2 linked regions of the Notamacropus eugenii genome follow. The protein of the gene in region 2 interacts with the protein of the main gene of each other region in a pairwise test. Links are inferred from orthologs where the notes say so. Each region holds a gene or a part of one and is shown on either strand. Other genes may lie near its edges.

Region 1 (6,831 bases), about 64 Mb from region 2:
TCTTTTCCAAACAGGGGTCTCCCAGCCTCAGATCCTCGGGTCTTGTCCCACCCAGTTGGAGACAGGAGAAGAGAGAGGCCCAGAGAGGGAAGGACACAGTGACCAGCATCCCCAGGGCCTGAGTCCCTCCCCAGTACCCTTTCCCCCAGTAAACAGCCGAGAGTGAGAGCAAGCCTGGGAGGACAAGGAGACACCTGGTGCAGAATGCAGAGCCCCAGAGGCCAGGGGAGACGGAAGAGGTCTCCAAGGTGAGCCAAGGCAGGCCCAGACTGGGCACAGACTCGCCCCAGTGCACCCCCGGTTGGCTCCTCCAGCAGCCTTCTTCCTAGGATTACTCCCTCCCGCCAGGACCCAGAGTCTTACTGGGCGATGTCCAGGTATCCACAGGAGGCAGCCACATGCAAGGGGGTCCAGCCCTCATTGTCAGCTTGGTTGACCGAGGCCCCCTCCTCCACCAGGAAGCGGACCACCTCCAGGTTCTCATCAATGCAAGCCTGGCAGAGGAAGAGAGGAAGCGAGGCTGGGGGCAGGGGATGGAGCTTCTGACCCCTGACCTCCTGGCTGGCTACTAGCATCTCTTCCCTGGGGAACGCAGGCTCAGGCCTCTGACCGAGGCTTCCTCCAGGCCCCAGATGTTGGGGCCCTGGCCCCTTTCTCCTCAGAGACCACAGAGGTTAAAAATAGTGTGGGGTGTGAGATCGTTCCCTGTCCCTCCAGCAAGGCCTGTCAACATCTCTGGCCCAAGCCTCCCAACCTTGCTGGCTCAGACCCTTCCCTCCAGGCCCGGGTATCTGAGTTCCCAAAGCCCCAAACACCCAGGTGCCCAAAGGGGCAGAGGCCCAGGCTAGAAGAGAAGTAAGCACTCCCCTACCCAGCCCTCCCGGCCTGGAGAGAAGGCACCCAGGGCCAGGAGGATGAAGTCATGGAAACTTGGGCAGGGAGGGGGGGGCCAGGCCCACCCCCAGCCCTGGGAACGGGCTGAGCTCTGGGCTCCGTTTATTTCCTCCCCGATGTCATGGAGACCCATGGGGGGGAGGGGAGTGACAAGGGGGCTTCCCCTACAAGGACCTGTTGAGAGCTCAGGAGAGGGCAGGGAGTGAGCTCAGCCAACCAGTACCTGGGGACCCAGGCGGCCCACTCTCCAGTCCCTGCTCCCTAACTCAGACTCAAGCAGCTGATACTGGGGTCTCAGAGGAGTTGAGGGAGCACCCCACCCCCAGAGCACTGGAGAATGGACTGGGAGACAGTAACAAGGCATCCAGTGCTCCTGGCTGGGGCTGCAGGAAAGGGGAAGGGAAGGGAGACTGGGTGGGAGAGGACACTGGGACCTGGGACAGGAACTACACTGCCCCAGTGCTAGGAAAGTGTTTAGAGATCACAGAGCAGGAAGGGGGTGTCCAGAGAGGGCAATGGATGGCCCCAAGCCACACAGACCCCTACAAAGCAGGGGCAGACAGGGAAGGCTGGCCAGGAGCTCAGTGTCTGGGGCTGCAGGGCTTCTCAGCCCGGGGACACTTGAGGCCTAGAGCCAGTGGAGGGGAAGGGAGGGTGGGGAATGAGGTGATTTCTGATGCTGAAGCCTTTGAAAGGGAGGGGCTTTGACAAAAACCCACCTCCCAGCTCCCTCTGAGCCTTCACAGCCTCAGCTCTGGGATGCGGCAGGGCAGGGCCAGGGTGAGAAGGAAAACAGGGGGCTGTTTGCTCAAAATGATTGAGGGGAATTGTGTCCCCACAGCCTGCGGAGATGCTGGGAGCTTGGAAGGTGGAGGTGGTGCCCCTTGGGGAGTCTGGGAAGGACAGGGCAGGAGGCTGGACCAGGGCCCAAGGGCTAGAGACCATCAGAGGAGGGTCTGGCTGCAGGACCCTGGTATAGGAATGGGAGGAAAGACGATGGAGTGCCTCCGGACCCAGATTATGGATAGATGCCCTGCCCAGGAAAACCAGCAATACAGAAGTCAGGGGGCAGTTGGGAGAAGAGGACATAGCCAAGGACTGCTGCCATGAAGGGGAACAGGTTGGCCTGGGGGTAGAGATGGAGCAGGCAAACCGCAGGCTGCACCTGGGGCCACAGACACAGGACGAGGAGGGCAGAGGAGACCCCTCCAGAGCCAAGGGGGCACGGCTGGTGCACCTGAGGACAGGGCAGAGGAGCCTGGAGGACCAGGATGCATCAGACAGGCACCGGGGGCCAGTCCAACCCCCCATCGGACCCATGAGGAAGTGGAGGCTAGGAAAGATCAAAGAGGGGGTTCAGGAGTCTTCCTGCCCCTGGGGGGGGCTACCTCCTAGGGATCCCCCCACATGGCCCTGGCTTGGGTACTGACAAGGCAGAGCCGGCATCAGAGGAGGGTCGCTCAGGCCAGCCTTCCTTGGGCTCCCGGTGTCTACACCCAGGGGCTGGCACACAGTAGGTGCTTAAGGACTCCTGGTGCAGACACTGCCAAATAAGGAGTCCTGGAGGGAAGATGAAGGTGGGGCCACTGGCAGGAAGGGCCCTGCTTCGAGGGGGGCATCAGCGAGCTGGGAGGGGTCACACAAGTGGAGGGGGCAGTCTCGGGGTGCTGGGAGAGCGTGGGGGAGGGGAGGGGGAAAGGAGGGTCCCCAAGGCGGCCGGGCCCGCGGGGGTGCGGCCACAGAAGGTCCGGCCCGGAGCGGAGGGAGCCCCGGGAGGGAAAGGGGCGCGCTGTCAGGGCCCCCCGGACCCCCCGCCGCGCACCTGGTGCAGGGCGCTGATGCCGTCCGCGTTGGTGCTGTCCAGCAGCCCCGGGCCGGGCCCCCCGCGCACCATGGCCCGCGCCTCCTCCAGGTCTCCGCCGGCGCACGCGGCCAGGAACTCGGCGGCGCGCTCGAAGCGCACGGTGCGGGCCCGGGCCCGGCCCCCGCCGCCCGCCGGCTCCCCGGCCCCCGCCGCCCGCGCCCACTGCCGCAGCTGCTCCTGCCGCCGCTCCCGGGCCGCGCCCGCCCCCGCGCCCGCCTCCGCCGCCGAGCCCGACATCCCGGCCCGGCGTGGCCCGAGCGCGGGGATCCCCGGCCGCCGCCGCCGCCGCCGCCGCGCCCGACCCTCCGCGATCCCCCGATCCCCGGCGCGGGGGCCGCCGGGAAGGCGCCGCCGCCGGAGCCGCCGCCGCCGCCGCCACCGAGCCCCGCCCGCCGCGGGCCCCGCCGGGAGCCGTAGTCCGCGCCCGCGCTCTGCGCGCCTCGGGCCCCAGGCACGCCGGGAAGTGTAGTCCCACCGCGCCGACCCCGTCTGCCCCAGGGAACTCGGGAACTGTTATCTTGCGCATGCGCGTTCGGCGCCTCGGCCCCGGGGCACTGCGGGAAGCGCCGTCCCAGGCTCGAGAAGCGGGCAGAGCCTGGCAGGGGTGGGCGGGGCCCGCTTTCTATGATGTCTGCGCGTCCCGGGGCACGCTGGGAAACGGAGTCTGAGCGGTCTGTGGGCGGGGATGTTGGCTCAGTGCTCCTCCGCAGCCTGTTCGCATGGACGCCCCGGGACCTGGGGAGGGGGCACCCGAGGCTCCCGAGGGAGTACCCGGCTCCGGAGCTGAAAGAGCAGGAGGAAACGGAGGCCCCGGGCATGGGGCGGGGGGGGGGCAGCGCTGACCTCTCTCTGACCTCTGGCCTCCTGTAGTCTCCACTTGCCCTTTCTTCGACCTGCTCAGGTTTTCAGCCCAGTTCTCATCCCTGTAAAGGGCACCCCACCCGCCCAACCCCCCATCTCATCCTGCACTCCTCACTCTCCCCCCATGCAGGGTGGTGCCAAGGCTCTCCCTACTCTCCATTTCATTAAGCGCCCATTATGTGCCACAGCCCAGGCACTGGGTACAAATGTGCTATAGAGAGGAGATGACTGGCGAAGAGAAGGCGCTGGACAGAGGCAGAGGCGTGAGCCCGCGAGGAGCCTGCCCCATGCCTGGAGTCACCAGCAGCGAAGGACAGGAATCAGCAGAGGCAGCCCCCCGATGGGCAGATACAGTTACATTATCCAAGTTGGTAAGAAGTTGGCACCCTGCAGGTGGTATACAGGCACTGCTTTCACAATCCACCACCTGTACTTGGGAGGCAGGGAAGGCATGGGATCCATGGCCAGGACCTGTGGTGGGCACTGGCACAATGGACTCATACCCAGCCACTTAAGCAAAGGCATTGCCAAAAAGGTCCTGCCAGCCCTGGAGGACCTCAAGATGGTGGAGAAGTCCCAGGGTGGAGACAGAAAGTACCCCCTCAGAAGCAGAGACCTCCACAGATTTGCCAGACAGGTGGCAGCTTACCCACAAGAAATATTAGGATAAACCCTACTGGACCGATTAAAAAACTGCCTTATTCATTTAAAAAAAAAAAAGGAAAAGGAAACCTGAACGTCTTGAAGGAAACCTGTGCAAGGAACAGCAAGAAGGCTGGTGTTGCTGGCTTGTGAAGTACATGTGTAAGTATAAGAAGACCAGGAAGGTTGGAAGGGACCAGGTTGTAAAGGACTCTGAATTCCAAACAGAGTTTTACAGTTGATGCTGGAGATTAGTTCAGGCCCTCATTGTCTCTCACACAGACTGTTACCATAGTCTTCCAGTGGGACCATCCGACCAGGTGCCTCCCATCTCATACTTCACTTGGACTGGTCTCATCTTCAGCCTCCTTTGGAAAGGGGAGTGGTAACTTCCAATCAATGAGTATTCTCACACTTTTTCAAGTCCCAGTAGATCATCATCCATTCTCCAGCCCTCACCACCTGATTATTGCCACCCCCCTCAACCCTCCCATCCCAAATTCCACTCGGTCTTCCACTGTGCTCTCTGGAATGCCCATACCATAAACAACATATTTCATCTTAAAACTTCTCCTCTCCCACTCCTTCCATCTATTAGCTCTTACTGAAACCTGATTTTCCTCTGAGGACACAGCCTCCCTCACCCCCCTTTTCAGTATTTGTCCCTTCTCTCATTGTCCTTGGGTCATCGGTCAAGGTGAGGGAGTTAGGATATTCCTTGTTCCCCATTGCCACTTCTAGTAAAATCATAGAGTAAAATCTCATCCTTTAAGGTTCTTGCAATTCATTTCCACCACCCAATCAAAAGCCCAGCAGCTGTTGTTGTCAGATCTCCAGGCGCTTTTGTACTAAGGCACTTCAACAGACATGTTGACTCAGTCAGAAACTACCCACTCAGTTTCTTAACCTGCTCCCCTCCTCCACCCCATCTCAGCCACATGGCAAAGGTATCTTTGATCTTGTCATTACCCACAAATGCACCACCTCCACATTCAAAAATTCAGAAATCACCCTATCTGTGCTAGACCCATTCTTCTCTTCTCCCCTAGTGAACCAATTCAACTCTATACTCTCCCTTTCTCTTGAATCACTGATCCTCTTATCATTTGGCTGATTGTGCCCAACCAAGCCTCAGTCATTCACTTTCTTCACTCCTACACATATGCTGCTGAATGAAGGAGAAGAAGATAATGAAGCCATTCCAACTGGGTCCACTACAACTTTATGTTCCACAACCTCTATTTGACCCTCACTGCTGCAAGGCAATGCTGTTATACTTCCCTTATGTGCTCACTATTCCACTCTACACAGCAGCTCTTCCAAACCTTCTCATCCCTCCTCCAACCTCCCATGGCTCCCTCTTCTCCCATGTTCTCAGCTGAAAGCCTTATCTCATATTTTTACAGAAAAAAATTAGGCCTTTTGCAGTGAATTTCCTCTTCTCCCCTCTTCCCCATCTTCTATCACTCAGGTGCTTTCTGCCCCTCTCTTCTCCTTCAACCCTGTCTCACATGAAGAGGTAGCCTTTCTCCCTCTACAGGCTGAAGTGATCCCATCCATTCCATCTTCTCCAACAGACTGCCCCTGGTCATCCCCAATTCCTCACTTATCTTCAGCTTTAGCTTATTCTTTAGTGCCTTCAAATATGCCCCAGTCTCCCCCACCCTGAAAAAACTCTGAATTTTGGCATGGGGTTAGGACAGAATTGCCAGCAATTTCTGAAATGGCCCTAAACATACTTCTGCCATTTTCTGCTACGTATTTATGTGAAGCCATCACTTTCAGCATTGACGATTAGAAAATCAAATATCAAGGAACTCTGAAAACCAATGAAGATGCTCTATGTCCTGCAGTATCAAATATTCCTCTGCGATTTAATTCTTTATGTAAAAATAAACAAACACATCCATCTCATTAGTTTGTGAATTTGCTTTCATCTTTAGTAAACGGTAAAATTGTATGTATACCGAAGAATTGTTTTCAAATGAATTTATGATTTATTATCAGTAAATGTTTGATTTCTATACTTTATATAAATCTGGGGTTGAGTAAAAATCTCTTGGTCCAAAAGGATTCAAGGGTGGAAAAGTTTAAGAAACCCAGTTCTATACTACTTTGCTTGGTAATCTCATCAACTGTCATGGATTTAATTACCATGTTTATGCTAATGATTCTCAGATCTACCTATCCTTCCCCAAACTCTGCTGACCTCCAACTTTCCATCTCTAACTGCCTTTCAGATATCTCCAACTAGATGTCCAGGAGATAACTTAAACTCAAATGTCCAAAACAGAACTCATTAAGTTTCTCCCTGAATCCTCACTTCCCATCTTCCCTATTACTGTAGATGGCACTATTATCCTCGCAGTCCTTCAGGCTCAAAACCTAGGAGTCATCCTGGATTTTTCTCTCTCTGCTACCTCCCATATCCAATATGGTACCAAGGCTTATTGATTTCACCTTGGCAGCATCTCTAGAATATTCCCCCTTCTCTCCTCTGACACTGCCCCTACCCTGGTATTATTGAAGTATCTGCTGGGAGTGGGGGAGGGGTTGGAAAGCTCTCCCTG
Region 2 (7,055 bases):
AGCCTTCTGTCCTTGGGCCCATGTGGCTTAACATGGTTACCAATCATCTGTAGTTAGGCATATAGACATAAATGCCTATAAACCTTAAAGGTAAAAAAAAAAAAAGGCTGGAAAGGACTGCTAAACCACTATATGAGAGAATTGGAATTTGGATCTATAAGGGACAGGAAAGAACAACTGGGCTGAGCTCCATATGATGGAATTTAATAATGACACATAAAAAGTGTTATTCTTTGGTTTAAGAAAAATCAAATTCATAATAGCTTTGTGAAAAAAGATCTGAGAATTGTACTTGGTTGCAGGTTCACTTGGCATCAAGGGTGAAAAATGCTTATGTAGTAACTAAAAAAGCTAAACTTAAGCTGCATTAAGACACCCAACGCCTTAAGAGAAAAGGTCCATTGTATTCTGCCCTGATCACATCATATCTGGAATATTATATGTCTGGTTCCAGGTGTCACACTGTAGAAAGAAGGGCACCAACAAATTCTGGAAAGCATTAGAGACGGGCAACCAGAGTGGAGAATTTCAAGTTAATGCTACATGAGAATTGGTTAAAGGAACTAAGATGTTTAGCCTGAAGAATAAGACTTGGGGGAAAGCACAACAGGTGTCTTCAAAAAAAGGAAGTGTTCTAACATTTGGAAGAGAGATTAGAAGCTTTCTGCTTCTGCTTGGCCAAAAATGGCAGAGTTTGAGGCATGGAGGAGATAGGGATGGGGATGGGAGAAGGGGGGAGGGAGAAGAGACAGAACCACAGGGAATCATTTCAGTGACATGTAAAGAAAAACTTTCCTAACAGTAAGAGTTATCCCAAAGTGGAATGGATGGTCACAGCTCCTCCTTACTAAAGGGTTTTCAAGCAAAGGCTGGATTCCTGCTTTAGGGGGGATACTGTACAGAGGATTTTTACTCAGCTCTGTGTTAGACTAGATGATCTTCGAGATCTCATCTCCAAATGCCTATCACCAAAGGGGGTCTAATATGGAGGTAGTCTGGGCCCAGATAAGAATGATGAGGAAATACAGAAAACCACTAGGCCTACTTGGACTTGAGAAAAACACTTCCTCAAGTAAGGCCTAAACTTATGCCTCTGCTACATCCTCTGAAATAATACCTGATATTTTTAACACCTTAAAGTCTGCCAAGCTTTTAACAAACATTATGCACTTGACCCTCATATAAGCCTGTGAGGGAGCTACTACAGGTGCTATTAAATTCATTTTACAAAGGAGTAAACTGAGGCTAAAAAAGGTGATTTGCTTATAGATCACACAGCTAATAAGTGTAAGAATCTAGACTTGAACCCAGATCTTCCTGACTCCAAATCCAGAACTCTAGCCACTATACCACACTGCCTTTTACAAGGCAGAGGTCTAGCCACTAAAGCTAGGGTCAACAGGCAGCCCTAATTGCCCTCAGGTGTCCATGGGCCAAGACTTTAAGCTTCTAACCACAGTTCCTAGGTGCTACAAAAAGCCCTTCAGCACAGATCAGAGACAAAAAAATTCTCCTGGGGTGCAACTACTGGGCATAAGGGACAAAATGCTTGACTTGGAGAAAAGAATTCGGCCTCAGATACCGAGGACCTGTAGTTAGTAAGTGGGAAGGTCACTATCTTGCTTTTTTCACCTGTGAAATGAAGGCCTTTGTCTCCTTAGCCTTTAAAGTCCTTTCCAGCTCTAAATCTAAGATCTCCTGTGGTTTCACTCTAAGGTCACATATGGAAGATAACACTGAAAGAATGGAGAACTCTAGGGACTCACCTTTGCAGGTCTCCGAGACTAGGAAATTCTATTATGAAGGGAAGGGAATAAGCATTTAATAAGCACTTTGTTAAACACTTTACAAATATTTCATTTGATCCACAAAGAGCAGGAATTTGAAGGGGGGGGAGGGAGATGTCATTACCACATCTTGACAGGATTTGGCAGGAAGTCTCTACATAAGAATTCTCATATTTGGGGCTGTGACTAACGATTTACATGTATTTCTGGGACTAACGGGTACTCAGCTATAGTGTAACTATTTTGTTTTCCTCTTTTAATAAAACTTTTGCCTATAACATTTTGAACTGTGTGTATCTGCATGGGAGAAACTTATTCTCAGCATACTGGGAGTACTTTTCCCCAAATTTTCTAGGTAGGGAAGCTAAGGGAATGGAAAACATCCCCCAAAGTGTTTCTGTGTCCTTGCTATGCTGACAGAATCCCTAACGGGAGGGTTACAATGAAAATTCAGCTGCTCTTGAGATGGAGGAGGTTAGCCGTCAGGCAGCCTGGATGGAAGCCAAGTGGCCTAAGAGCCTGAGTCAATGTTAACATACTACTGACACTTAGATAGCGTTTGGAGAAGCCTCCTGCAGGCTAGGGCTCAGGCCCTACCTCTGACACCTGACTGGCCACGTGACCACCGTCAAGTCACTTCAAACTCTCTGCGACCTAAACAGCTAAGACAGTAAATCAAAATAAATACAGAACTGCGGCAGGCTCGGGTTGGTGGAAGGGCTCTCCGCCCTGGGAGATCCCGGCTGGACGACACCAGTATATACGAACATCACTTGAACCTCACAATCGTGTACATAAAGACAACTCCTGTTAATTTTCTTTTACAGCTGAGGAAACTGAGGCCCAGAGGGGGGAAGGGACCAAGGACGGACTTCGGTCAGGTCCCCGCTGAGGAGGCCTGGCTCTGCCAACGAGTCGCGGGGCCTCCTGGTCTCTGGGCCTCAGTTTCCCCATCCGTCAAACACTGGGGTCGGAGGGGGACGATCTCTGAGGTCCCTGAGGCCCTACCCAGGTAAGAAGGTAGGAAGTCTCCCTCGCCCTCTCAGCAATCCCCAACCCACCCTCCAGATCCTCGCCGCCATTTCCGACACCCCGGGAGTCTGGGGGCACAACCAACGCGCCACTCACCATGTCCTCCGAGCTTCCTGCTCCCCAATGCGCATGCCCGAGAGAGGCTACAACGGATAAAAAGGAGCTAAAGCAACTAGCTTAGTTTCCACACCCACAGAAAACACGTGACCCCTGCCACCAAACCTCCTGGGTATTGTAGTCTTGCCCAAGGATTGGCTGGTCCGATTGCGGAAGCGCCTGATGATTGGCTCTCCCGATAACCCCTCGCGCCCGCTCTAGAGCGGGACTTCTTATTGGCTGTCAAGGGGCGGTTGAGTTTGAATCCGCAGACCGAGACAGCGCCTCCATTTAACTTCCGTGAGACCGGTGGGTGGGCCCGATTTGCTCACTGCGGACTTCTTCGGGACCTGGTTCTTCTCGGCAGTAAGGGGTCGGACCGGAACAGTCTGCTTTTCCTCGGGCGCGGGAGCACTATCTGCTGGGGCTGACCTCTCCGGGTGCCCGACCGCCTCTCGCGCCGCCGCCGCCGCTCCGGTCTGCCGGGTCGCGCGGCCTCTTCTCCGCCTCGGCACCATGGCCCCGTCGAAGAAGGCCTCGAGCCGGACGACCAAGAAGAACGCGGTGCGGGGCAGAAAGCTCGCCTCTTTCCTCAAAGACTTCGACCGTGAAGGTAACTCTACAGGCCCCGGGGCCCGGAGGAGGGAGACCAAAGGAGTCGACTAGGTGCCCCCGCGGAGAAGGGGAGGGGGTGAGCGAGGCCGAGGCGGAAGGGGGAGGGGCGCCTGCGCTCGCGTTGCCCTGGTAACCGCGGAACGCGTCGGCGGGGGAGGGGTGAGCCCCGAATCCGCTACCCCCCCAGTTATTTACCTGCGCCTGCTCGGAGGGCGAGACGGGTCTTTCAAAGCATCTTCCCACACTGCTGCGGATACTGGGACCAAAGCAGAAACTGCCCCTGCCCGCCCGGAGCTGGCTTTCTTTCGGGGGAGAGGGCGACAGCGGTATGCAAATATCATATTAGTAATCTCGGGAACCTGATCGGAGCCCTTCCCCAGGACCCTTAGGTCCCCATGCTCCAACTTCCTGCTCTATGTAAAATCAGTACCAGGTAATGTGGTGGGGAAGGAGGGGTCGAAGAAGCAGAAAAGACATTTTTAACTCATTTTTGAAGGACACAAGGAATTCTTAACTGGGGGAGATGAGGAGGGAAGGGTCGCATTTCAGACAGGGGGAATTGTTTAATGCCAAGTCGTGAAAATGGGAGATGGGGGAAGGTCAGTTCGTCGGGATTGTAGTAGAGTATGGGGAGTGGGGTGACATATAATTAGGCAGGAAAGGTCTGTTGGATCAGATTGTGAAAGACTTTAACTTCCAAACAAGAGCTTATCCTGTGTCCCAAAAGTCTTAGTGCACTTTAAAAGCTTTATTAATGTCTCGTTTTAAAGCTTGCGATGTGTATTAAGACTTTTGGGACACCAAAAGTGACCAGATTGGATAAGTGTCGATCCGAGAGGTGTTGGAGTTTGAATGGGGGAGTGATGTGGTCAGACCTTTCCTTAAGGAAAATCCCTTTGGCTGCCGTGTGGAAGTGTAATCCTTTCGAGGAACTTTTTTGAAGTCACTGAGAAAACTCAGCAAGATGTGTTCTGAGCCCTCAGAGGGCTCCATGTATGGCAGAAGATATGAAACAAAGATGCAGTATTATAAAATTAAGCTCGAAAATGGGGGCTTTTCTGGGTTTTTTCGTTCTTTGTATCCTCCACCTTAGTGTAGTCCCTGGCATACAGTAGGTGCTTAATAAATGTTTGTCAGTTGATCTAAGCGTATAAGAAGCAGTACAGAAGGTTCTTTGAAGTTTGAGAAAGGGGAGAGACCTGGACTGGGGCTCAAAAGGTCTTTGTTTTCTTGGCATTGCCACTAACTTGTTCTATGACTTAGATCACTTATCCCTGAGACTTTGTTTCAGTTCTGGAAAATGAGAAGGCTAAAAATCATTCCGAGGAACATCCATCTATCTAACTATGAGACAGTGGTAATTATGTAAATGAGGTAAAAATGATTTCCCCACAGTACGATTACAGAAACAAAAATATTGCGTTGATTCACATTTACTTCAGTGTTTCATTTGCAGTTACTCATTAGTATAGAGACTCCTTTGAGAAGTGTAGCGCATAGCACGTCATTGCATCTTCTGTAATTCTTGCCCATATCCTTCCACACACCCTGGATAAAGGCTCTAATCATTATCCTGAAGTCTTTTTTTCTAGTTCTTTTAATGTTTTTTGAATACTAATGTAGCACTTAGACTACCCATCCAGTATCCCTCTAATTACATACCTAATCTTACCTCTTTTTCTTTTCAAATATGTTCTTTTTCTATATTTTACAACATCATAATCATATAAAGTTTGCAAAGTACATTACATATATTATCTCCTATGATTTTCACAACTGTCTATACTCTATCCTCACTGTGCATCTTTCCATTGGCTCACTCACAGTTTAGGTTTTTCAGAAATTATGATGTTTGATTCTCAACTACATAATACCATTGGGAGAATATTAGTATTAAAAAGATGGGCTTTGACAATAAGTAAGCAGCTTAGGGTAGTTGAAAATGCTACATAGTTTCCCAAATGCAATATGACCCAGTTTTCTAGTTAATTTTGAGCTCAAGGTAGACGTGTTATCCATCCAACTTCATGTTATTACATGAAATGATGTGCATTCTTTATACACTTAGGTTTTTTTCCCCTATGTGAATAATTAGATCAACCTCTTTCAAGTAGTCGTGGTTTTTATTAGGGAGTTTCCAACAAGAAAGCTGCCATAGGTATGCCGTAGTCCGTGATTGGTAGGTAGATGAAGCCACAAAGATAACTTTGCTCAGTGAACTTCTATCAGTATTTAAAAAGGCATAAAATAGGATGACACCCAAGCCCATGATTGACGCTAGACTTGGAGTCAGATTGATCTGAGTGCCTGCTCCAGCAGTTGACAGCTGTGTAACCACACACAGATCTTTTAGCAAGTATGAACCTCAGTTTCATCTGTAAAATGAGGATAGTAATACCTGTGTGAAGGATCAAATGTAAAGAACTTTGAAAACAATGAGGGCAATAGAAATGTGAATTGTTACGATTCTCCAAAAGTTTCTTGCCAATACCATGGAAGATGTTTTGTGCAAAGGCCAAACAGAACAAGGAGTTGGTAGATTCTGAGATTGGCTAGAGGCTTCTCTTTGGAAAGAATATGTAGGTTTTATTCAGCCCTGAGACCTTCTGCTATGCCAAACCTTGACTGGATATTCTTTAAGTTGAACAGTATTTAATGATGCTTTTTCCCTTATACTTGTTATTAACTAAAGAATTTTAGTTCTAGTACTTTTGTGTTCAGTTTCATTTGGTCATCCAGCTGAATGTTTGTCATCCCTTACTCTAGGAATGTTTTTAGAGTAATGTGAAATACTTGATCAGTTGCACAACTCTTACAATGCATGAGGCCCATATTAAAGTGAGGCAATTTTGTTAAATTTAATGTAATTCTATTACAGTTGCTGTTGTGATGGTTTAAAAAAAAGTTATTGCACAAAATCCTTAAATCAGAATCACTTGATTTGTTTCATTATTTTCATTATTTGCAAAGTTACATCCCTGTTTTTTTAAATAGGTATACCGAAAGACCCAATGTGGTCTGAAGGCTTTTGGTCTCCCAACCCTCAATAATTCCCATTATCTCTGAAATCTCTGATTCATTTTTGCTAGAAAAAGGATCAAAGATGACTGTTGATATTAGCATTCTTTTGTACAATGAAAGTGTGGTAAGACTGGAGTTTAGAATCTGTGTTTCAGTTCAGGCTTTTACCACTATCTTGCTATGGGATCTTGGCCATATTACCTGTCTAAACCTCAGCTTTCTCTTTTTTAAAATAGGACAGTAGTACTTGTCTTGGCTACCTGCCAGGTTTGTTGTGAGAAAAGAACTGCATGAACGTAAATCCTTCTATTTACATCGACACCTCGATCTGAGTGGCTAGACAGTTTCTTATAACCATCTCAGACAGTGTCTCCTATTGCCCCTCTTCCCTTTAACCCTAGGAACTGCTCTGCCTGAGGTGAGGTGACTGATTGGGATGCTGTAGAGCCACTTTATTGAAGGATGTATATTTTTGTAGGAGATCCATGGATAACAGGAAAATCT

Evidence for each region. The genes of interacting proteins can lie anywhere in the genome.
Region 1: the proteins of AIRIM (region 2) and PPP1R12C interact in binary tests that used the Homo sapiens proteins (3 or more experiments, as listed by UniProt). The two-hybrid records come from large-scale screens. The link is inferred for Notamacropus eugenii from reciprocal best matches to the Homo sapiens genes AIRIM and PPP1R12C.

What each region holds. Positions count from the first base shown.
Region 1 is NC_092876.1:17,780,868-17,787,698, forward strand, and holds the start of PPP1R12C (protein phosphatase 1 regulatory subunit 12C), read right to left. Parts: upstream 3,011-6,831; 5' UTR 2,996-3,010; coding exon 2,717-2,995; intron 495-2,716; coding exon 364-494; intron 1-363. UniProt on the Homo sapiens protein: Regulates myosin phosphatase activity.
Region 2 is NC_092876.1:81,541,841-81,548,895, reverse strand, and holds the start of AIRIM (AFG2-interacting ribosome maturation factor), read right to left. Parts: upstream 3,002-7,055; 5' UTR 2,916-3,001; intron 1-2,915. Other genes in the region: CDCA8 (borealin), read left to right, coding at 3,432-3,528. UniProt on the Homo sapiens protein: Part of the 55LCC heterohexameric ATPase complex which is chromatin-associated and promotes replisome proteostasis to maintain replication fork progression and genome stability.